Linked DNA regions of Rhinolophus ferrumequinum. The protein of the gene in region 2 interacts with the protein of the main gene of each other region in a biochemical or structural test. Links are inferred from orthologs where the notes say so. Each region holds a gene or a part of one and is shown on either strand. Other genes may lie near its edges.

Region 1 (11,555 bases), about 60 Mb from region 2:
TACAGAAGAAGGACAGAATCTCTTCCCCCCATGCTCGGCCCCTGAACCCTCCCAACAGCTCATCCACCCAAATTACGCGCTTCTCCAAGACTCGCTGCAGGAGACGCCCCGGCCTGAGTCTCCCTTCCCTCTCAGCACAGCGAAGCGGTATCCTCCTCCCACCCACGGCACCTTCCCGTACCCCTGTGGGACTTCTCCCACTTCTCCCGTGCTCCTTTTGTCTTCATTACCCCACCTCAAGCACCTTTCCAGGACAGCAGCGTCCTGGAGTTGGGCTAAGGATTGCACACACTGGCGCTTTCTCCTGCGGCTTATGTTTAGTAGATGCTCAGGAAGTGTTTGCAGTGAATGTTTGCTACTGGCAGAAAGGGGCTCCCATCTTCAGTTGGAGAGACCTGTGCAACTCTCCTAAGAAGCTGGCAAATGTTCATTCATTCCTCTAGCTGAGTCCACTTAAAGTCTTTCCTCTTAGTTTTCTTTTCATTTGTTGTTTTTAATATAAGAGACAACTACTATGCTATGCAAAGAGGTTTGGAGAACGGGAACAATGATTGTTCTAAAAAATCACACCTGAACTGGTTAAATAGTAACTGATTAAGCTTCCATGGATTCCCAAATATAAAATACAAACATTACAGCAAAATCTGTAACCTATATACTTCTTTCTTACATATTATCCTCAAAGTAGCCCTTTCCCTGGTAAATGAAGAAACTAAGGCCTAGAGAAATAAAGTGATTTACCAAGGTCACAGCCTTTACGTTTACGTTCTACAAATTGAAGCCAGATCTGTGGACTCCGATCCACTGCCTCTCTTCCTGCCTCTCTTCGAGTAAAACTGAACAATAATTGTAACACTTATTTAATAAGGGAGGATAGATTGGTATTTTTAAATGTATCTGCTTTGCCATCCTAACAGCTAAATTACTTGTTTCCCAAAATAACATTTTGCTTTTGGCTTGTCAGACAAACACTAGGCGGAACTGTCAAGTCAATGAAATTGTCTGCCCTCCCCCTCGGCTGCTTCATCTTTCTCTCCTTCAACTCTCCACCCTCTCTCTGCCCACTTCCTCCAACCAGGTGCTCCTGGGGATAGGTCTGAGTAGAGTCACACATTTGGGACTACCTGTGTCCCCGAGCCTTTGTTTTCATTTATAAGATGCAATGTGGCTTCAGGTTACTGCGGGCAAAGCAGTGAGCAGTGTCTGGTACATAGAAGGTGCTCGGTGACCACGCTCTGCACATTCCCTTCCTGCCCAGCCCCATCCCAGCTCCTATGGACTTGAGACGGAGCTCCGCGCCACTGTGGGAAAGTCGCTATACCGAAGTATCTGTTTCTTTAAGGCACCCCAGGACCCTGGGGACTGAGCTGGCACTGCCACCCACCTGGTGGGCTCTCCTGGGCTGCGGACATCAGGGCTGCCCTGACCCCGCTCAGTTTAACTTGTTTCACTATTCCAGGGAAAGCGCAAGAAAGGTACATTTCCCAAGACTAGATATCAATTTGAATTAATAAAGACAGAGCTAGTTAGAGTCTGAACCTCAGCCCTTCCATAACATTTAAAAATAAAATAATTAAAACCAAACAGACTCAACAAGTAACATTTTCGTGATTGACACATTCTAACGTGGATTTCAGACCTTGGCGTTGGTATACCACATTCCTCTGCAAATAAGTCGGAATAAGTCAAGTATCAGGAATTCTGAGAAACAGTGATCTCTGATTTGGGTTCCAGTCTCACTTGAGGGATTATGGAGCCAAAAATCACTTTAAAACGCTTCATTCTGGGGATGGTAAGGGAACGTGGTCACTATTCTGGGTCTAGAGCCAGAGTCCCACAAAGCTGCTCCGGTGGTACCTACCCCATGGCAGCGTGTGGTGTGGAGGAACAGCAAGTGTTTACTTAAACTATTAATTGAGTACACATCTTGTCGAGGAAGTTTTTGGTTTTTTTTAAAAGGCAAAAACACAAGTGAAGTGTGTTTGCCCCAACAGCCAGCGAGGACAGCTTGCCTGGTGTTAGGACAACACAGACTTGTGGTCAATGGCAGGCAGAAAGCCCCTAATGGCTGGAAAACGCTGGCCTGGCCTCACACTGTCGGGATTTTGCAGCTCTAGGCTGGGCCCTGGGCCCTAGCGAATCATTAGAGTCTTCAGCACATTCTAGAGTAAGATCATCTGTAGAGATTCCTTAGGAAATGTGACCGGAGTTCTCTGGCACTCCAGCAACTGGGGTGTGCTGAGGACACTTTGCATTTTTCTCTGGTCAGTTGTCAGCTTTTCAACGTGCTCTTCTGAACTAGCACATTCTGCGGCCACCATGGCACCAATAGCGGGCCTGCCCTGAGCCGGCCACATAGCTTGCCTGCATTTCCTTGTTAAATCATCGTGAAAATGAATTGTGTCAACTGTTTATTAAGGCCTACTGTATGTCAAGCAGTTTTAGGCACGAAGGAAGCAAAGTTAAAAACACAGGATTCATGAAAGTTCTCGAGAACTTGTAGTCCAGTAGGGAACAATGGTATGTACATGTGTCTGTATCAAAACCAGACTTCCTTTTTAAAATGAACGTGGCCCTTATGCTCTCAGGGTTGGGCTGTGTGTATGGAGGGGTGTATCCACACGGGAGGACCATAAACATCGTGGACAAGCTGATGGGGTCCCCCCAGCACCCTCCTCCCCTGACATTCACGTAGAAAGAGCGCTGTAATGTATAAAGTTTAAGCCCTCACTGATTGCTGACAGCATTACAGGTTTGCTTGGCAAGAACTGCTATCCCCATTTTTCAGTTGAGAAAATGGAGACTGAGAAATATCAAGACACCTGCGCAGCCCACAAAGTAGTACCTGAATCCGACAGAATCAGGATTATAAGCCAAGGCCTGATTCTCACCCCGCATTCCTCTTCCCACTGCTCTGAGGCCTCCCAGGAGGAGGAGGGCTGCTGTGACATGGCCATGGTTTGACCTCCCCTTGACCAAGACGCTCTGAGGGTCCTCCTACCTGTACTTGAGCTGCTGCTTTTGGCTCCTGATTTTTTTCCCACCTGTATCTCCATTCTGCCTTTGCCTCCAACTTCCCATCTCAGTGACAACATCTGCTTTCCCCAAGCCAATGTTCTCAGACCTGCAGCATCAGAATCACCTGGGAACTTGTTAGGAATGCAGGTTCTCAAGCCTCACCATAGACCTCCTGGATCTGAACCTCCGGGAGGGGCCTGAGCAATCCGAGTTCCGCGAGCTCTCCAGGTGGCGAGCTCTCCAGGTGAAGACTGCTGCATCCGGCAGCTCAGGAGCCACCCTGACCTAAGCGAACGGGCTAAGCATCTTTAGTCTCTGCTGCCCCACCGTGATCACCTGGCCCCGGCACACGCAAACTCTGTGACTAAAGAAGAAAGCCATTTGTCTGGTGCTGAGCAGCCGTCACAATGCAATCACACGCAGCCAAGCTCTTCAGGGCTGGCTCAGGCAGAAGCTTGACGCCGGGTCAGAGGCTTCCTCCTTCTGGCCTACTTTCCACGGAGGCCCCACTTCTCAGGTCAGCAGTGCAGTGGCCTTTACCTTGACCCCTTTCCACCTCATCAGACCCAGCTCTGGGCTCTTGGGCGAGGAGCCACCGCAACGGTACGGCTCTGTCGATACATGTCTGTGTCCCTTAACTATGAAATGCAGCGAAGGCTCCCAGCTTTGTTCCAGGCAGCAGGTAAGGCTCACTCCATCTAGATTAAATGCTAACAATCAAATACGACCCTCATAATTATGCTACTTTCTATAATTTATAAAATTCTTTTGTAACTCTCACAAGGATCAGAAAAGCTAATTTTGAAACTGGGATTAGAACCCAGGACTCCTGTTTCATTCCCTAAGGAACAAGCTACTGTAATATGTCAAACATTTAATAAGTTCTTGTTAGTAATTAGTGGAGCTATTACAAAACAGTAAGTTCTGGTCACTGTGTAAGGGCACAGGCCCCATGTCACCAGAGCATGTTGCCACATGAAAAGAATGTCCTTTGCACAAGCCTAGTCCATTAGAAATAATGCAGGAACATGCTATTAAACAAAGAATAACTTCCTGGATCCAAAGCCCCAAGTTATAAAAAGGGCCACCTTTGTAGCCCTGCTTTGTGGAAATCTGATGATTCTCTCATCTACTTCCTTGATTTTGATGGAAAGGTCTCTAGTTTCCTCTTACAAATAATGGAAAGTGGTTACTCTATCAACATTTAATGTCTGTAGCAGCAGCATGGAGGTTGCCTCACAGTCACTTCTTTGACCATCGACATGGTATTTATGCTCAGTTCTAAAATACACAGAAATTCCTCTTGAGAAATGAGAAGCTGTCAGAGGTTAGAAACACACACACAGATACACTCTCTTCCATATGTTCCAAAGACATGGAAATATGCACACGCATGATCAGATAACCCTCCCATTCCACCTTCTTATTTTCATGTCTTAGAAACTATCTCTGTGGGAATGTGGGAACATCCCTTCCCACATTCACACCCAGGGACAGATTCCCGGAGAAGAGGTGGAAGAAAGAGAAGCAGTAAGATTCACAAAAGACTCTAATTTGGAGCATTAATAATAGAGCAGCTGAAAAGCTTGCAAAAGCAAAGAAGGGCCCTGTTAACAAAACATTCAGGGCACTTCCCAGAAACTGGCCAGACACAAGATTGCTATTGACAATGAGGAAAATCAGAGCCCGAATCAAATCTCAACTGAGCAGACAGATGTGCAGAATTCGCTGTTACGATTAGCATTTTTTAAGAGAGCAGTAGACTCCATGAGTTTGACAAAGGAAGAAAAACAAAAGATAGCCAGAGACTCATTCTGGATAAACAGTTACCATTCTGTATTCACAACTCTACATCAGCAACAGCACCTCAAGTAAGGCACAAGGTGGGGTCCTCTGCAAATTTGCACACCATCATACCAATTATCCATGCTGCGTTTGTGCATGCGGTAAACACCTTGGATCTGCACCACCTCTGTGCCTCCCACCCACCCCGACTGGGGTAAACCCCACCAAATGCAGAGAAGAACCCCTTTCTGTCTGAGAACCAGCCAGAACCTAAGCTGGCATTACACAGCAAAAACCTACGAGAACAAAAACCCAGCGGCAGACTGATGTAGAAAACCCAGAGCATACCTGAATTCTTCAAATGCGAACATGACCTAGTCAGAGACAATTTCCTTAGATTGTCTGGTAGCCTTTTTGGTTTGGAGGACAACCATTTAGTCAGTCAGATGGTGCAAAGTGCAGGAAAAAGAGGCGGGGTTTCCACACCCCCCAAGATTCTGAAGTAAAAGGCTTTCTGCAGACAGGGGCCTGCAGCCGCCAGCTCTGCCAGCTGCTGACAGGCGGCAGCTAACAGGGGAGGCAGCACGAAAACCATGTGATCATTCCAGCAAGTCTGATTAATGCAGTGTATGCTTAGGCTCCAGGCTGGGAGCTGGATTAGTCCAGGGAAATAAGTGGAACCTCGGGCACGCCTGGGATCCTCGGTGAATCACAGAACACATCCCACCTCCACCCAGAATTCTGCAGGGGGGCAAAAGCAAAAAGGAATGAGAATGCAACCTGTTCTACTGCGGTCTGCCTGATTACCTCATCTTCCTGTGGCTGCTGCTGCTCTAATGACCAGGTATGACCACCGTGGTCAGCGAACATGGTGTAGTGAAACCCAGCTACACTGGACTGAAAATTCTGCAGAATTCTGAATCTTACCCATCCCTACCAAGCATTACTTTATCACAAACGCATGAACTGCTTTGGAATCACAAAAGTCCCATTTTATGCCCACCTCTTTACCATGAACAACGTGACCTTCTAGGTCAATCGTGATGGCTGATCTCATTTATTCAGTTATTCATTTATTGAGTGTCTAATAGGTACCAGGGTCTTATCAATTCCTTGATGTACAAAAATTGCCGTAATAATTTCAGAACAGAAGTTTAAAAAAAAAAAAAAAAGAAACGAGATGTCAGCCAAAAAAGGGAAATGTTTACCAGTTTGTAAAGCCCAAGCTGGCAAGATCTGGCAAATGAGCTGCGACTGCATTCTGAACTTGCCATTAAGAAGAGTCTTTCTCATTTGGACTGCAAATCTGTATAAAACAAGGGAGGCAGATCTTAAATAAAAACCTGTGAGTCACTCTTGACTTTTTTCTCTCCCTCATACCACAAATATAATCACTAATTCTGATTCTACCTCAAAAAGGTTTCTCTGAATCTGACCCTTTCCCCACGCCCACCAACGGCCTGAGCTCACACCTGCAGCATCATGCCTCCAGCATTTCTCACTTGGTCTGCTGTGTTAGCAACTGGTCTTTCCATCCCTTCTCTCAAAACCTGCCAGAGCAATTTTTCTAAATCTGATTTTCATGCCCCCTATTTGAAACCTGCATTAGTTTCTCAATGCCCATAGGATTAAGTGAAAATGCCTGAGCCCAGCATACCGAATCTGACTTCTCCAACTCTTTCTTCCATTAAAACTCTTCACAAACCCCCAAATCTAGCCAGACAGCCCCAGTTCCCTAAATTTGCCAGGACCTCCTTTCTTTGGTCCATGGGCCAACTGCCCAGATTATCCCTTGCCCCCTACGTGACCTGCGCCCTTCCAAGCAGTGCATACTGTTCCCTCGGCTCCGTCCCCAGGACCGTTAGCCACTCGCTCTCCCTGCTGCCGGTGGCACCGCCTTACAGCATGCTGCGTGCGCCCCACGCATCTGTGGTCCTTGAGGACGCGGGCTGCGGGAGACTGTTTCTGTATTTCCAGTGCCTGGTACGGAGCCTGACAGAGGTTCGCTGAATGAACCTCCTTCTGTGCAGCTTTCTACCAGGGAGAGTGACCTGGTTCTTGTATGAGGTGCTCTGGGATGACCGCACCCCTTTTCTTACGTTACCTCTATCATGAAGAGAAGTGAGAGTCCAGAACTTGCCGCAAAGAAATGAAGCGATAATGGCCAACTGAGGCGGACTGATTAGTGAGAAAGAAATTTTGGGGAACCCCATGGTCCCTCACACCAAATAGCAATCATCAACTAAGAGGATCCAGAACGTCTCCCACAATATTCCGCACAAGTCTCTGCCTGAGACCTTCTAGGGGCAGAATCATGGCATAACAGAAAACACAGGAGTCAGCCATTAACTAACCCAGGCTGAAGTCCCAGCTCTGCCTCTGTGATCACTGACAAGCAACGTAGTCCCGAGCCTGGGATTCCCCAGAGGTACATCTGGAATAATGTGGACACTGCCCACGCCTCTGTCACAGAATGCTTGTAAGGACCCCACAAGGTGGGACAGTGGAGTCGTGAGCGGTCTTCATCACGTACACAAATTTTATAGGAACATTCTTCCTCCCCTTTGTTACTTCACAAGCCGGTCTCCCCGGGCAGAGCTGATAGCTGCCGGCTCTTCGTGCTGAGGCCACCCGCCTCCCTCAAGTGTTCTGTCTGCCCGTTCACTGGTCGCTTGTTTACTTTTGTTTTTTTTGAGCGGAAGAGGAGCAAGGAAGGTATTGCTGTCCTGTGATTCTCAGGACAAGGGATGTGTGGATATGTGTATAAAATCACTGTCCTAAATCCTAAGTTAAAAAATAAAGCACTGGAGCTGACCTAAGTCTTGGGAAGAACAACTCACCCACACCAAATACAATTATATGATGTTTTTATTTATTAAACTACCTGGGGTTAGTCAGATAAGTGGGGTTGGGGCAGCTGGTTATCAACCAGTTGCAAGCTTCCCGAGGGCAAGGAGACACTCAGTATTACGTGATGGGTTTGCTGGTTGGTAGAAAGGCCAAAACCTCCATTCCTGGCACTCTTTGCAAGGTATGGAGAGGAGCTGCAGGGGTCTTAACTCCCAGCCGTCTGGCCCAGTGGGAACTGGCCTTTCCCCTGGCCACCAGGCAGGCCCAGTGTGACCGGCCTGGTGGGACGGAGAACCTCTGGACTTTGTGCCTTTCTCTACCAGTGACTCAAGAATCGCCTCTTTCAGGGCCATTCAGAAGGGAGAGCGCAGAGCGGACAGAAACGGTGAAAAATCTCCAAATCCTAGCACCAAGTGTATTTTAAACAGAATTTTATGAGATCCCCCAATTTACTAATAAGGTACTGGGTGCCAAATGGTTAAGTAACCTGGCCAAGGTTATATTGCTATTAAGTGGCAGAGCAATGACTTGGACCCAGGTCCAAGGTTTTTAACCTCTGTGCCCTCCTGGCGTCCCAATACCAATGATCCAACTGCCCCAGGCTGCCTCCCTGAGAGACTGCCAGGCAGCCTGTGCCTGACAGAGGGCTGGGACATGATCACTCTCTGGGGTTCTTTCATCCTGCTGGACCCTGGCTAATCCCCAGATTTCACGGCCAGGCAAGAGACCGCTAAGGGCTCCAGAGAGCCTCAGCTGCCCCAGGAAGGAAGGGGTGGAAACCTGAGTTGACATAGTCTCAGGACCAGGTTGGGAACTGGGTCTGCTTCCAAGGCTGGGTGCTCCCATGTGACCTCTTGATAACCGGTAACACCAAAGTGTTAGGAATAAGGACATAAGTAAGGGTCCCTGACTCCTGACCACTCCACGCCTCACTCAATGGCACTCCTGTGACCACACAGTGTTGGGAAAAAAAAGTCATCCCAGGTCGTCCACCAATGACTCAAGGCTCGGAGAAAGCATGTTGCTACTCTGGGACTTGTGTGTCCTTTGTCACTTTCAAGGAACAGCCAGATATTAAATTTTTAGCCTTCTGTTTTCTAAAATACCACTTCCGTGGAAGGTAAAGCTGATAAGAACAGAAAACGGATCCAAGTAGCCAATTCCGGCCGAAGGAATGAAGAGCCCGAGTCCCTGCTGCCGGGTCTCCTCTCTCCCCAGCAGGGACAGGCCCTGCCGCAGTGTGCAACCACCTGGCCTAAGTGACCTGGCAGCTCGTCAGTGCCAGCACCCAGGGCCTCGCCAGGCTCATGTCATCACACTCAGCCTAGTTAATCTGGACTCACTCCCTCTTTCTAGTCTCATCCTAAGCACCAAAGCTTCCTGACTAGGCCCTGCTGCCATCTGGGCCTGGCCTGCTGCAGTTACTGGACGTGTATGCTGGCATCTCCAGAAACAAAACAGATACTGAACAAAAACATGATGGTGAACATGAGGTATCCCCCGGCCCCTGACAACTGGGGAAGCTAAATGAGAGGGATGTTTGAAATCTATCTGAAACAGTGCTCTTAGCTTAACAGGTTCAGCAAGCAACGTCTTTCCCCATGAAATGGTCAATTTCCCACAAAGGTGAACTTCGGATTTGTCGGTGCCAAATCCTCACCCCAGCTCGTTTGGAGGCTGATGGTCTGAGAGTGTAAATCCCTGTGGGTTTGCCTCACAAGCAGTGTCTCCTCTCCCACTGTGTTTAGGCTGTAGGCACACAGCCCTGACATGATGTACGTGCAGCAAAATAAAGACGGAGCAAATGAAGAGAGTCTAATGTTCCCATCAAGTAGAACAGAAACGCTCTTCTGACACTTACAGAGGTGCACGCGCACTGCTGAGCTGTGTATAGACAACCAAGAGGAGACTTAAATGCAAATCAGTTACAGTCATGACTAAAAATACGATTCTTTCCTCACGGCCCATCCGTGGGTTTTTCCAACAAGCAGGGGGCCGAGTGGAGGTAAGAGGCACTCACAAGTGTCCTCACTGGAGCCTCACCTCCAGCACCCTAATTAAGACTCCCCTCACCTCCATCTTCCTGCCTGCCTTCCTCCCTGTTGCACACAGCCACCTGTCCTGGCACCTTCCAGTTGAAACCCGCAGAATGAAGTCTCGCCCCCAGCCTGGCATTCAGCTCCTCCACACACCTCCCACACGTGCCAACCAGATCCCCACTGACCCGGCACACTTACTCACGCCACCTCCCCTGTTCCAGAGCTTTCCTCCTTCCGCCTTCTCTCCACAACGGTTTGGAAAGTGTGCTTCTGAATCCAGTTCAACTGTCAACCTGAGAAGCTTCGGACAAATTCTTACCCGTCTAAGCCTCAGTATCCTAATCCGAAGACGGGATCACAGCACATCTGGGGGTGCCCCAGAGGTGACCCCCTGGCACACATGAACCACCATCGACAGCAGCTAACACTGTGGCATATGCTTCAAAACTCCATCGAGTTCCCCTCCTAACATAAACCAGCCCATGGTGACCATGACAACTTCAGAATGCCTGAGAGGCAATAGATATATATTTTTAATCTCACATATCGGCCTGGGCTGAGGAGTAGCCGTTGTCCATTACCTGTCTCAGGCCTCTAACCTGCTGAGAGTCGCTGAGGACAGGCACGGAGGGGGCCGACAGAAGGTACCTTAGGAGTTTAGTTCCTTGTAACCTTCATCTGAAATATATAAACAACCTAAGTAAAAACAGCATGCTTGCTAGGCAAAAATACAGCTCCTAGAGAAATCCATTCTAATTCTGGGCCACCACCCCCAAATTCTTCTATTTTGAAATTATGGGAAGCCCACTAGCAGTGACCTTTGTTTTTAGTCCCTTTTAAGCCTTCCCAAGGCACAACACATTCCTGGGCACACAGTAGGTCTCTGGTCAAAACCTTTTTGAATTCAGTGAATGTGTTTTTATTCCAGTAGAATTAACATTTCCAAAAATTTTTAAATGCTTCTTGAATCAGTAAGAAATGTGTGAGTCCTACACTCTGAACTAAATCTTTTCCCCAAATTACATAATTCAACTGAACTTCTAAAGTGATATTTAACTTTAAAATAAGTTTTAAATTAAGCCATCCCTTACTTCTATTAACAAAAGCTACCCCCAAAAAGCGTTTTATCGTAAAGCAAACACAATTACGACACATTTTCAGTTTACCCCTCACTACCCAAAAGTAGGAGTTCATCGATCATTACTTCTGCATTCCTGGCTACACCAATGCCTCTCCTCAAATATGCACTTTCTCAATATCTGTACCTGGTTATTGAAAATTATCCTTGCTTTCACTCAACCAACACTCAAAGAGTTACTATGTGCTAGGTACCACTCGAGGTGCTGCACAGAGAGCCCTGACGGCCAAACCCCTTAGTTCTGCGGTGCTTCCATTCTCATGGAGGAAGCCAGATGCGGAGTAAGAAAAAGATGATAACATAGGGCAATATGCTAGACAGTGCGTGGGGGCTACTAAGAGGTGATGACAGGAAAGGCCCCCGCAGGTAGTGACATTTAAGCTGAGATTTGAATGACAAGCAGGGGACAGTTAGCAAACATCAGGGAAAGGTCACTGCAGGCAGAGAAGACAGCTGGCGCAAAGGCCTACGGTGACAAGTGCGGTTTTCGTCCCTCTCATACAGTGTGGTCGGAACAGAGAAGTAAGGAGGAGCAGAGGGAGACGCAGACAGGCTTTCTCAGCCAGGAAAGCCACTGTGGAGTTTGATTTAGGGGGCAGTCACATGACCTGGTTTTCATTTTAGAAGAAAAATGGAAGTGAGGAGACCAGTTAGACGCTGTGACAACACTCCAGGTAAGAGATGAGGGGTCTGGACTCAGAGGGCAGAGAAGACGAGAGAAGTTG
Region 2 (10,778 bases):
CCCACAACCAATGTCATGAAGATATCCTTTATTCTATCTTCTAAAACTATAATTTTCCTATTGACTCAGATATTTAATACACCAGAAGTTGGTTTTCAATGTATGATGTGAGGTAGCAGTTTATTTCATTTGTTCCCCCGATATGGATATCCAATTATCCAAACATCATTTATTGAAAATATCATCCTTTCCCTACTGATTTGTGATACCTCTGTCATGAATTAAGAGTCCTTATATGCATGGGTCTATTTCTAGATTCTCTATTTTTTTCCATCAATCTGTTTATAGCTGAGCCGATAAAACAGTCTTAATTACTATAGCTTTAAATAAGTTTTGGATCTGGAGAAGAAAGACCTGTCATTTTATTTTTTAAGAGTGCCTTGTCTAGTCTTAGCCTTTTGCATTTCCACATAAAATTTTGATTGTAAAGATGCAAACGGGAAAGGAAAACTTTTGGGGATTTTTACTGTGATAGCAATGAATCTATAAATCAATTGGAAGGAAATTGGAATATATACAACTTGGAGTCTCCAATCCATAACTACGATATGTCTCTTCATGTATGTAGTCTTCTTTAAAGCTTTCCAATGAAGTTTTTAAGTTTTCCAATAGATTGCTTATATATTTTGTTAGATTTATTCCTTGCTAATTGTTACTTTTTGATGTTATTGTAAAAGATACCATTTTATAAATATCATTATTTTTGCTAGTATATGAAATATAATGTATTTTTGTGTGTTGATTTTGTGTACAGCCACCTTACTAAACTCTTATTAATGCTAATAGTTTCTGAAATTTCAATTTTTCCATATACATACTCATATCATCAAATTGAGTTTTATTTCTGCCTGTATAATAGTTGTTCCTTTTGTTTCTTTTTCTTGCCCTAATGCAGATTAAACCAGGACAGAGTTGATTAGAGGTGACGATAGGCAGGCATCTTTGTGTTGTTCTCATCTCAAAGGAAAGCTTTAAAGTTTCACTAGTAAGTGTGATGTTTACTGAAGGTTTTTATGTTGTTACAATTTTCTGTTTATAAACATTCTGGATTAGTTTTTTCTGTGACAATTGCTGGCTGCAATCAACCTCTGAGCTTTACTTTCCTCATTTGTAAAACAATAGTAGTACTTCGTCATAGTAATAGTGAGGGTTAAATGAGTTCATATATATAAAGTGCAACACAAAGTAAGTATTCAATAAATGGTAGCTAGTACCTCACAAAACATACACATAAATTTTTCATGGGAAAACTAGATGCTTATTGAGTTTATGTGATACTGATTGAAATTCACGTCTGACTGAGTCTTAAGGATCCATAGCAAAATTGTATTCAGCTGAACTTGGGGACATATACTTGTGGAAAGGTGTTCATTTATTTACAATGCATGTCTGCTACCCAAGGACTCTTATTTTGTCAGAGTACTAGGGACGTTAAATTAATAAGGATTAGATTAGAAATAGTAATTATTAGTTAGATTAGATTGCTTGACAAATATCATCTATACAGTATTCTTATTTTTAAGAATGTTTACCCTGAATCTAATCATGAGAAAGTAAGTAACCGGGGCCAGCCCGGTGGGTCAGGTGGTTGGAGTGCCATGCTCCTAACACCTACGTTGCTGGTTCGATTCCCACATGAGCCAGTGAGCTGCGCCCTCTACTACAGCTACACTGTGAACAACAGCTCTCCCTGGAGCTGGGCTGCTGTGAGCAGCTGGACGTTAGCGTAAGCTACTGTGAGCTGCTGCAGGCTACCTTGTCGGTGGCCAGCATGAGTGGCTGGCAGCCAGCGAGAGCTGCTGTGAGCTGCCAACCGACGACTGGCAACCAAATGCCTCAGCCAGGGGGAGTGCAAGGCTCATAATACCAGCATGGGCCAGAGAGCTGTGTCCTACACAACTAAACTGAGAAACAACAGCTTGATCCGGAGTGGGAGGGGGAAGGCGGAAGAAGGGGAGAGGAAAAAAAAGTAAGTAACCAAATCCAGATTGTGGGACATTTTCTAGAAAAGTGGCTTGGATTCTTCAAAAATATCAGTCATAAAATCAAAACAAAAACAGGCAGGGGAACTCTAGACAACAGGAGACTAAAGACACTTTAGAAAGGCAATGCTTAATCCTTAATTGAATCCGTTATTAAAAAACAAAACCAATAAAGGGTATTTTGGGGATACTTGGAAATTTGAATATAAACTGTGTATTAGATAATATTCCATGTTAAATTCCTTAGGTGTGATAATGATATGGTTTATATAGGAGAATGTCCTTATTAGGAAATACGTCAGCAACTTAATTTCAAATGGCTTTTAAAAACTATTAATATATGTGTAATGTTTGTGTATATGTGTGTTTGTGTGTATGTGAGAGAAAAGGAGAGAAAAAGCAAATATAGCAAAATGTTAATAATCGATGAATCTAGGTAATGGGTACATGGGTGTTTAATTGCACTGTTCTTTCAACATTTCCGTAGGTTTGAATTTTTTTCAAAATAAAAAATTGGAAGTGAAAACTGGTTTGCTTGGTGGCCAAATAACTAGACATAGTATCTTTTCTAAGAGATATTTCATCCAGGCTTTGGGGAAGTCTGATGAATCCCTTTTGTTCTGTAAGGGTGTATCTTCTTGCAACTGTTTTTTGATGCCAAATTCTTGCTCTTGATCTTCCCCCCATCCTTTACAAATTGTCACAAAAGTTTTTATTGTGTTTTTTTTTTTAAATTGGATCGAATCTGTATTATTTTTAGTTTTTGAATGGGTAATACATCCACATGGTCCAAAATTCAAAAAGTACCAAAAGGAATGTAAAAAGTTTTGCTTTTACTCTGCCTGAAGACACCCAGCTTCTTTCTTGGAGAGAACCAATGTTACCAGTTTCTTATCTAACCTACCAAAGCTATCCTATGTACAAAAGCAAACATGTATGCAATGTTTGCTTAAGTGTATAAATATGTATTTCTTGGGGGTGGCGATTGGCTCAGTTGGTTAGAGCGGGTGCTCTTAACAAGGTTGCCAGTTGAATCCCCACATGGGCCACTGGGAGCTGCGCCCTCCACAACTAGATTGAAACAACTACTTGACTTGGAGCTGATGGGTCCTGGAAAAACACACTTAAAATAAATAAAAGTTTAAAATATGTATATATATATATATACACACATACATATATACATATATATCTTCTTTTTTACACAAATAATACACATCAACACACATGAAATTTCATTTTGCCTTTTTCACTTAACTACATATCTTGATAGGTTCAAATCAGTACATAAAGAACTTCCAACACATATTTTTTCCTTTTAATTAAATAGTAGTTCACCGGATGGATGTATCATACTTCTATTGATAGATATGTAGGTTGTCTATCACCTTTTGCTACTGTAAGCAATACTGAAATTTCACATAGTGTAAGTTTATCTGTAGGATAGTTTCCTAGAGAAATGGAGCTGTTGAGTCAAAGCCTAGTTGCATTTGTAATTTTGATAGCTATCACCAAATTGCCCTCTAAAATACTCAGGTACTAGCAAATGAGTGCCTGGTTCCTCTCCAAACTTATTAACACAGTATATTCCAAACTTTTTGATGGTATCTCTGTATGGTTTGAATTTGCATTTCTCTTATTATGTATAAGGTTGACAGTCTTTACATATATTTTAGAGCAATTTTTACCTCCTGTGTACTGTTAATAACCTTTGCCTGTTTATCTTTCTCATTGACTTGTAGGACATCTTTAACTATAAGAGGAAATAACCTTTGTGACACAGGTTGCTAAATTCCACCCCCCCAAGACACCATTTGTCATTTTATTTGACTTTATTTATGATGGGTTTTTGCCATTAAGAATTTTAAAGATATATAATTAAGTGTATTAATATATTCTTTTATAGCTTTGGGGTTTGTGACATACTTAGATTTTCCCCACTGTAAAATCCATGGTTTCTCTTAGAACTTCTGTGGCTTAATACTTGACATTTATATCTTTAATCCAGTTGGAAATATATCCTAACATAAAGTAGTGTTTGGTAAGGTCCAAATTAATTTTTCCCAGATGACTATGCAGTTATCCCAGCACCATTTAACAAACAGTCTATTTCTTTCCACACGTTGGAATACCTTTTTTATCATATACTAAATTTCTCTATGTATTCGTATATATATCTAAGCATGGTAAGCAGACTAATAGCCTTCTCCCCACCCCCCAAAGATGTCCACATCCTAATTCCTTAAACCTGTGAATGTTACTTTACATTCCAATAGGGACTTTGCAGATGTTTTGAAGGATCTCAACATTGAGAGCCTATCCTGGTTTAGCTGGGTGAGCCCAATGTGATCACAAGGATCCTTCTGAGCGAGGCCGGATATCAGAGTCGGAGAAGGAAATGTGATGATGGAAGCAGAGGTCAGAGTGATTGTTGGCTTTGAAGAGAGGAAAGGGCCTTGAGCCAAACAATGCAGATGTCTCTAGAAAATGGAAAAGGCAAGGAAACAGATTCTGTCTTAGGACCTCCAGAAGGAATACAACTCTGCCAAAACCTTGATTTCAGCCCAGTGAAACCCATTTAGGAATTCTGACCTCCAGAACTGTAACATAATACATTTTTGTTGTTTTAAGCTACGAAATTGGTGGTAATTTGTTACAGCAGTAATAGGAAACTAAGATACCAGGATAACTATTCTGTTCCATTTACCTATTTATTTTTGTTCAAATACTTTTATTTATTTTTAATTTTTTTTGTCTACGAATACTTTTAATTATTGTAGTTTTATAATATCCTGTATATCTGGTTGGCTCAGGCCCTTTTTATTCAGGATTTTCCTGGCTCTTCTTGCCTTTTATTTTACCATATAAAGGTGAGAACTAGCTTATTCAGTCCCCCAAAAAAACTTGTTGGCATTTTTAGTGAGATTATGTATTAAATTTAAAGATCAACTAATGGAGAACATCTTTAAGATGTTGAGTCTTCCATAACAAGTAGATAGGGTTAAAGTATGCTTTTTGTGTTGTAGCCTTCTTTAATATCTTAAAGTTTCCTTCATTAGGATGTGCAATTTTCTTTTTTAAATTTTTATTGGGGAGTATTGGGGAACAGTGTGTTTTTCCAGGATCAGCTCCAAGCTCAAGCCAATGTTTCTCACTGGTCCATGTGGGAATCAAACAGGCAACCATGGGGTTTGGAGCGTTGTGCTCTAACCACTGAATGAACCAGCCACTCCTGCAATTTTCTTAAGTTTATTTCAAGGCATTTAGTATTTTTGTTACAATTTTAAAATTGTCATCATAAAGTCAAAACAATTCATACCAAATAGTCAAAGAATACAGATAAAGGCAAAGTCATTCAAAAGCTTAGTGAGCATCCTCCCTAAGGATCTCTTAACTATAAAGAAGGGCAATGACTACTGGGTAGGCAACAAATAGTGACTGCCACAAATCCCTTTGGGATTTCTACTGGGAGTTCACTGATTTTGGAGAATTTTCAAGTTTATAATATTGAGCCTTCTCCTCTCGGAACATAGTTTTAGGTATTTCTCCATGTAGGTCCTGAACATTTCTAAAAGTTTATTCCCAGATATTTACGGGTTTTTTTGCTTAAAAACTTTCAATGATTTCCCCATTGCGGAAAGAATAAAGGCCAAAGTTCCATACGTGGTCTTAAGCCTCTTCATTGCCTAAAGTAAACGTAACTTTCCAGTCTCATCACCTCTTACACTTTTCCTTCCTCATTACACAATAATATTCCTTGACCACGTTGTTCAATTTCCATGCCCTTAATGCTCTGCTTGCCTTCCATCACTTGTTCTTCGGCCGAGAAATCCTATTCACTCTTTAAAACCGGAATCACTTATCAAATTTTTCCAGTAAGCCATGATAAGGTTTACCTTCTCAAAATCAATGTCTCCTTCCTCTGGAGTCCTGCAAATCTCCAGTAAAGTACCACAGTTTGACTACCATTGCTTTCTCCCCTCTACTTCCTCGATTTCCCAGTTCATCCATCAGCTCTAGCTTCCTGAGCTCCATCACTTCCAGGGACCTGGAAAGCGCCTGACTCCGGGAATTTGAATGAGTCGGAGGTTCAGAGCGACGTGCACATCTAAAAGCCCAAGTTTAGATACGTAAGTTAATCAAGAATAGCTCTCAGGAGCCAGGTTATTTCCGAGAGGGTGAGGAGTTACCGCCGCGGCGTCCGCCGGCGGTGCATACTGGGAGATGTAGTCTCGGGCCGACCCCACTATCTCTTGGGAGTTGTAGTTCTCGATCTGGTAATGAGAAGGCCGCAACTCCGAAGTTTTGAATTAGTCCTTACGAGTAAAAGGAAGAGGGTAATCCATAATATCTTGCAAGGTCAAGCTCCTTGGGCCTATCTCCGGACCGCGAGCATTGGCGGAACAAGCTAGAAGGCGGATCCGAGAGGGGCGGGGAGACGTTAGGCTGACGCAGACGTGACCCTGCCCTGTAGGGTTTGGCGGGATTTCCGAAAGCCATAGGGCAGTGGCGCGCTGCGGCAGGAGACTGAGTGCTGAGGGAAGCTGAGTTGTGCCCCGGAGCGCGTAGTTGGGAACTGGAACCCGCCTGGGTTGTGTGCAGAAGGCCAGAGCAAGGGAGTAGAGAAGTGGGGTGCAAGCGAGAGGTCTGGAATCCGTCCGGGGTCGGGCGCGCGCTGGGCCAGCGGACAGGTCGGAGCGCGCAGTCCGCCGGAACGAGTAACGCTGCAGGCCTAGGTGAGTTTGTCAGGCGCTGACCGGGCCCCTTTCCATCGCCAGCTTCATCCCCGCGTTAGCCAGACAGGGACCCGGCACCCGGGCCCGTGTTCCCGCAATCGACTTAGGGTGCCGCTCTGCGCCAAGTGAGGCTGGGGCGTGCCCGGGCCTGGATCTCGGTGTGGCGAAAACGGTAGCCGACCCGTCTTTAGAGCTGAGAGGAACCTTTTTGAGGCTTTCCTTAACAACACCTGTTTTATGGCGGTGGACGAGGAAGCCGAGATCCAGAGAGATGTAATGACTTAGTAAAATTGCAGCCGTCGTATGTTAGAACCAGGGTTTCCGGATTTCTGGTCAGCCTCTTTCCGTTACACCATACTTCGTTTACAAAGTACCAACCTCCAGTTGCCAAAAAGATTTTCATTAGCTAATCGGAAGACCGTTCACGTGATACTTTGGGAATGATACGTAGTGAGCTGTAGATTTTTTAAAATCTTCTAAAGTGAAGTGTAATATACATGTAGAAAAAGCGACAAAAGTGTATACAGCTCCATGAATTATTACATAATATACCTGCATAATTACCACACAGGTCAAAAAATAGAATGCTGTCAGCACCCCCAGAAGACTCTCTGTGCCCCCTTAATATTCTCCCTTCTTCCCAAAGGCAGCCACGGTATTGACGACTAAGACCGTTGACTAATTTTGCCTGTTTTTTAATTTTGTATAATACTATATAATTTATATTTTTTGTGTCTGGCTTTACTCAACATTCTGTCTGTAGATGAGTACAGGTTTTTGCATATAGCAGTAGTTTTTTCTTGTTGTTATATTGTATTCCTTATTCATTCTACCCATGGTGGACGTTTGGGTTGTTTCTAGTTTTTAGCTTTTATGAAAAAAGCTGCTGAGAACATTCCTATGTACGTTTTGGTGCAATGTGAATGATTTTCATTTGGTTAATAATACAAAGTAGTGAAATTCCTGGGTTATATAGCATTTGTCTGTCTTCAACTTTCACATTTAATGCCCATTTTCCAAAGCTGTACCAGTTTCCACTAAAATCAGCAAAGTATGAGGGTTTAGTTGTTTGACATGTTTGCCAACACTTGATATTGTCAGTCTTTTTAATTTATTCTGGTGGGTATACAGTAATATCTTGTGGTTTTAATTTGAATTTTCCTGATTAATGAGGTTGAGTATTTGTTCAAATGTTTATTGGCCATTTTGATATCTCCTAGTAGTGAAGTGCTTATTTAAATTTCTTGCCTGTTTTTCTCTTGGGTTATCTTTCTTGCTGATTTGGAGGAGTTCTTTACTATATATTCTGGTTATTAACCCTTGGTTGTGTATGTGGTGAATATTTTCTCCCCTCACTATAGTTTTACTTTTCATTCTCTTAGTGGTGTCTTTTGATGGATAGAAGTTCTAAGTTTAAGAACTCTTTATCGTGAAGTCGTGAAGATATTTGCCTATATTCTAAAAGCTTTGTTTTACCTTTTACATTTAGACCTGTAATCTAAATTGGAAATTGATTTTTTTCTGGGTTGTTTTTTTCTTCTATAAGGCTATCCAATCAACCCAGCACCATTTATTGAAAAGACCAGCCTTTCTCCACTCTGCTGTGCTATCTTTTCAATAAATTATGAAGGGAGAGATTTAGATTTAAATTGCATTCAGGTGATTTAGATATTTGGAATTATCATAGACACATTATGGTAAATCTGCCATCTAAGAGATCTGTACCTGAACCAATCAAGAAAAAATAGTCATCTTCTGTCAAGTCTCTTAAGAATGGAGATTTTATTTGAGTTAAATTTATCCCTATTGTTAAATTGTCCAGATTGTTTTGGTGTAGTATAAGTCCATTCTTGTGGACATTATGACTTGTTCACTTTTAATAATACCTCTTGAAGTTAATTTAAAAATTTTTGTTCTCAGTTCTTTTCAGTCTGAGCGATCTTAACTCTATCATAATAACCAGACTTTAGGTATAGGCCTTACGCTTATATGGAAGATTTCAGACTGAGCAGGGTACTTGCATGTCATTTATTCATTCATTTGTACATTCACTGAGATCTGGAATTAATTAAAATGGTAATCTTTAAATTTCATACACTCCTGTTAGAAGCTACAAGTTAGGATCCTTAACATTAGTCCACTCTTTCTCTTTCTGTAATGGAGGCTTATGGGCAGTCATTCTGTACCTTTATTTCACTCCTTTCCACCACCCCCAAATCCCGCTTGCTGGAAGAGAACAATGGAACTGAAGTAGTTTAACTTTTCATCATTTTGTTTTTAATTTATGTAGAGTCCTGGAAATTCTGCATTCATTTACCAAATATTTCCCAAACATCTAGCGTTTATAATGTATCATGGGGGGGGTATACAAATAAATAAGACTTGGCCCCTACCCTCAAGGAATATTGAAACAGGAAGAAACAGGGGACATAGTTGATCTAGTTAAGCTTTAGAAATCAAAATAGTGCTGGCTGTTCCTAAAGTTTTTCTGATACAACTAGCTAGGTGGAAGGGAAAACTGGGGAGAGATTTGTTTTTCTTTCCTGCCATGCGTAGGTCAGTGATTAGACCAAAAGCCTAGCAAGTAATTCTTCGGAGATTTATTGCAAAACTAAGTTTATAGCTCTGTACTTTCTCTTGTGTTCTTCTGATGGCCATCTGTATTTTTCAGTATTGAACACTAAGTAATGGCTATGCAGATGCAGCTTGAAGCAAATGCAGACACTTCAGTGGAAGAAGAGAGCTTTGGCCCACAACCTGTTTCACGATTAGAGGTATGTGCTTAGTTGCAAATTTGGGAATTAGAATGCTGGACTAGGTTCTTCTACCTGTTGGGAGAAATCACAACCTTTGCATAAACCCTTGGTTTACTACCTATGGTCAAGACCCAAATTAGAGTTCAGAAGAGTTGTCAAGGATCCCGTGAAACGGCTTAAGATAGTCACTAAACATTTTTGGGCAGATGTCTTTTTTTTTTTTTTCAACATTTATAAAATATATTTTATTTGCTGCTATACTAGATGGGTATTTTTGCCAATAATAAAGTGGTATATTTAATATTTCCTATGCAGTTCTGTGGCCATGTGTTCTGTTGTGCTTGCCAGAATCCTCCTATATTATTAAGCACTCTTTCTAGACACTAGAGCTTTTGAATTTATTGCATCTTTTCCCACTGAAAGTGCTCTTCGTTGACCAACAAAGCCAGCAAGGACCACTAGAGGTCATTCTTCTGCCTTTTCAGGTGCCTCCAAATGCTCCCAGACAGGTTTGTATCCAGAGGCTTCTAAATGTCCACTAGGCGGTACAGCCCAACAGTAAATATGCACGAGGGTTAATGGGGCTGTCAGAGACGACTGTGCACTCTCCTTCCTGGAAGGAGGACACAAGCCCAGCAAACTCCTGCATAAGCTAAGGATAGAATTCTGCCACGAATATTTATCCAGCAGCTATTTGTGGAAACTCCCGTGCCAGCTGAGTGCTAAAGTGGGTGATGGTAGGGCATCAATGATAAAGAAAACGAGACTTGCCTTTAATCAGCTTACAAACTCCTGGTGCTGTGGCGGTGGTCATGTTACGGGCAGAGGCACCACTTTAACAAACATCCTCCTTTGTCCCAAGCCCTGGGCTAAACACGGGGTACACAGTGGAATAGAGCATGGCCTGACCTCTGGAAGCTTCCAGGTTGTTGTGGAGGACAGACACCTACACTGATGAGAGTCATGTCATGATATGCCGAGCTAGCACAGCTGTGCCCTACCACGCAGTAATGTGCATGCTAGCAGTGTACGCTGGTGTCACAGAATGGAGGGATAAACAACCCTGTCGAGAGGGAAGGAAGGCTTCCTGTAGGAGGTGATCATGAGCTGAGTCTTGAAGGATGAAAAAGGAGAGAACTAGGCAAAGAAAAGAGGAAGTTTGTTCTAGACAAAGGGAGAATGTGAGCAAACTGAAGAGGAGCGATGATACAGCTAGCTCAGATCTCTTTTTCAAGAATTTTCCTTCTACTTGATCACTTTTCTTTCTCAGACCTGGATTGTCAGAAACTAAGAAGCCCTAGGAC

What was found.
Region 1: the proteins of RAD51 (region 2) and EVL form a complex in vitro, tested with the Homo sapiens proteins (2 studies listed by BioGRID and IntAct). The link is inferred for Rhinolophus ferrumequinum from reciprocal best matches to the Homo sapiens genes RAD51 and EVL.

What each region holds. Positions count from the first base shown.
Region 1 is NC_046289.1:4,348,292-4,359,846, forward strand, and holds the start of EVL (ena/VASP-like protein), read right to left. Parts: upstream 5,458-11,555; 5' UTR 5,175-5,457; coding exon 5,152-5,174; intron 1-5,151. UniProt on the Homo sapiens protein: Ena/VASP proteins are actin-associated proteins involved in a range of processes dependent on cytoskeleton remodeling and cell polarity such as axon guidance and lamellipodial and filopodial dynamics in migrating cells.
Region 2 is NC_046289.1:64,420,997-64,431,774, reverse strand, and holds the start of RAD51 (DNA repair protein RAD51 homolog 1), read left to right. Parts: upstream 1-6,468; 5' UTR 6,469-6,718; intron 6,719-9,389; 5' UTR 9,390-9,405; coding exon 9,406-9,492; intron 9,493-10,778.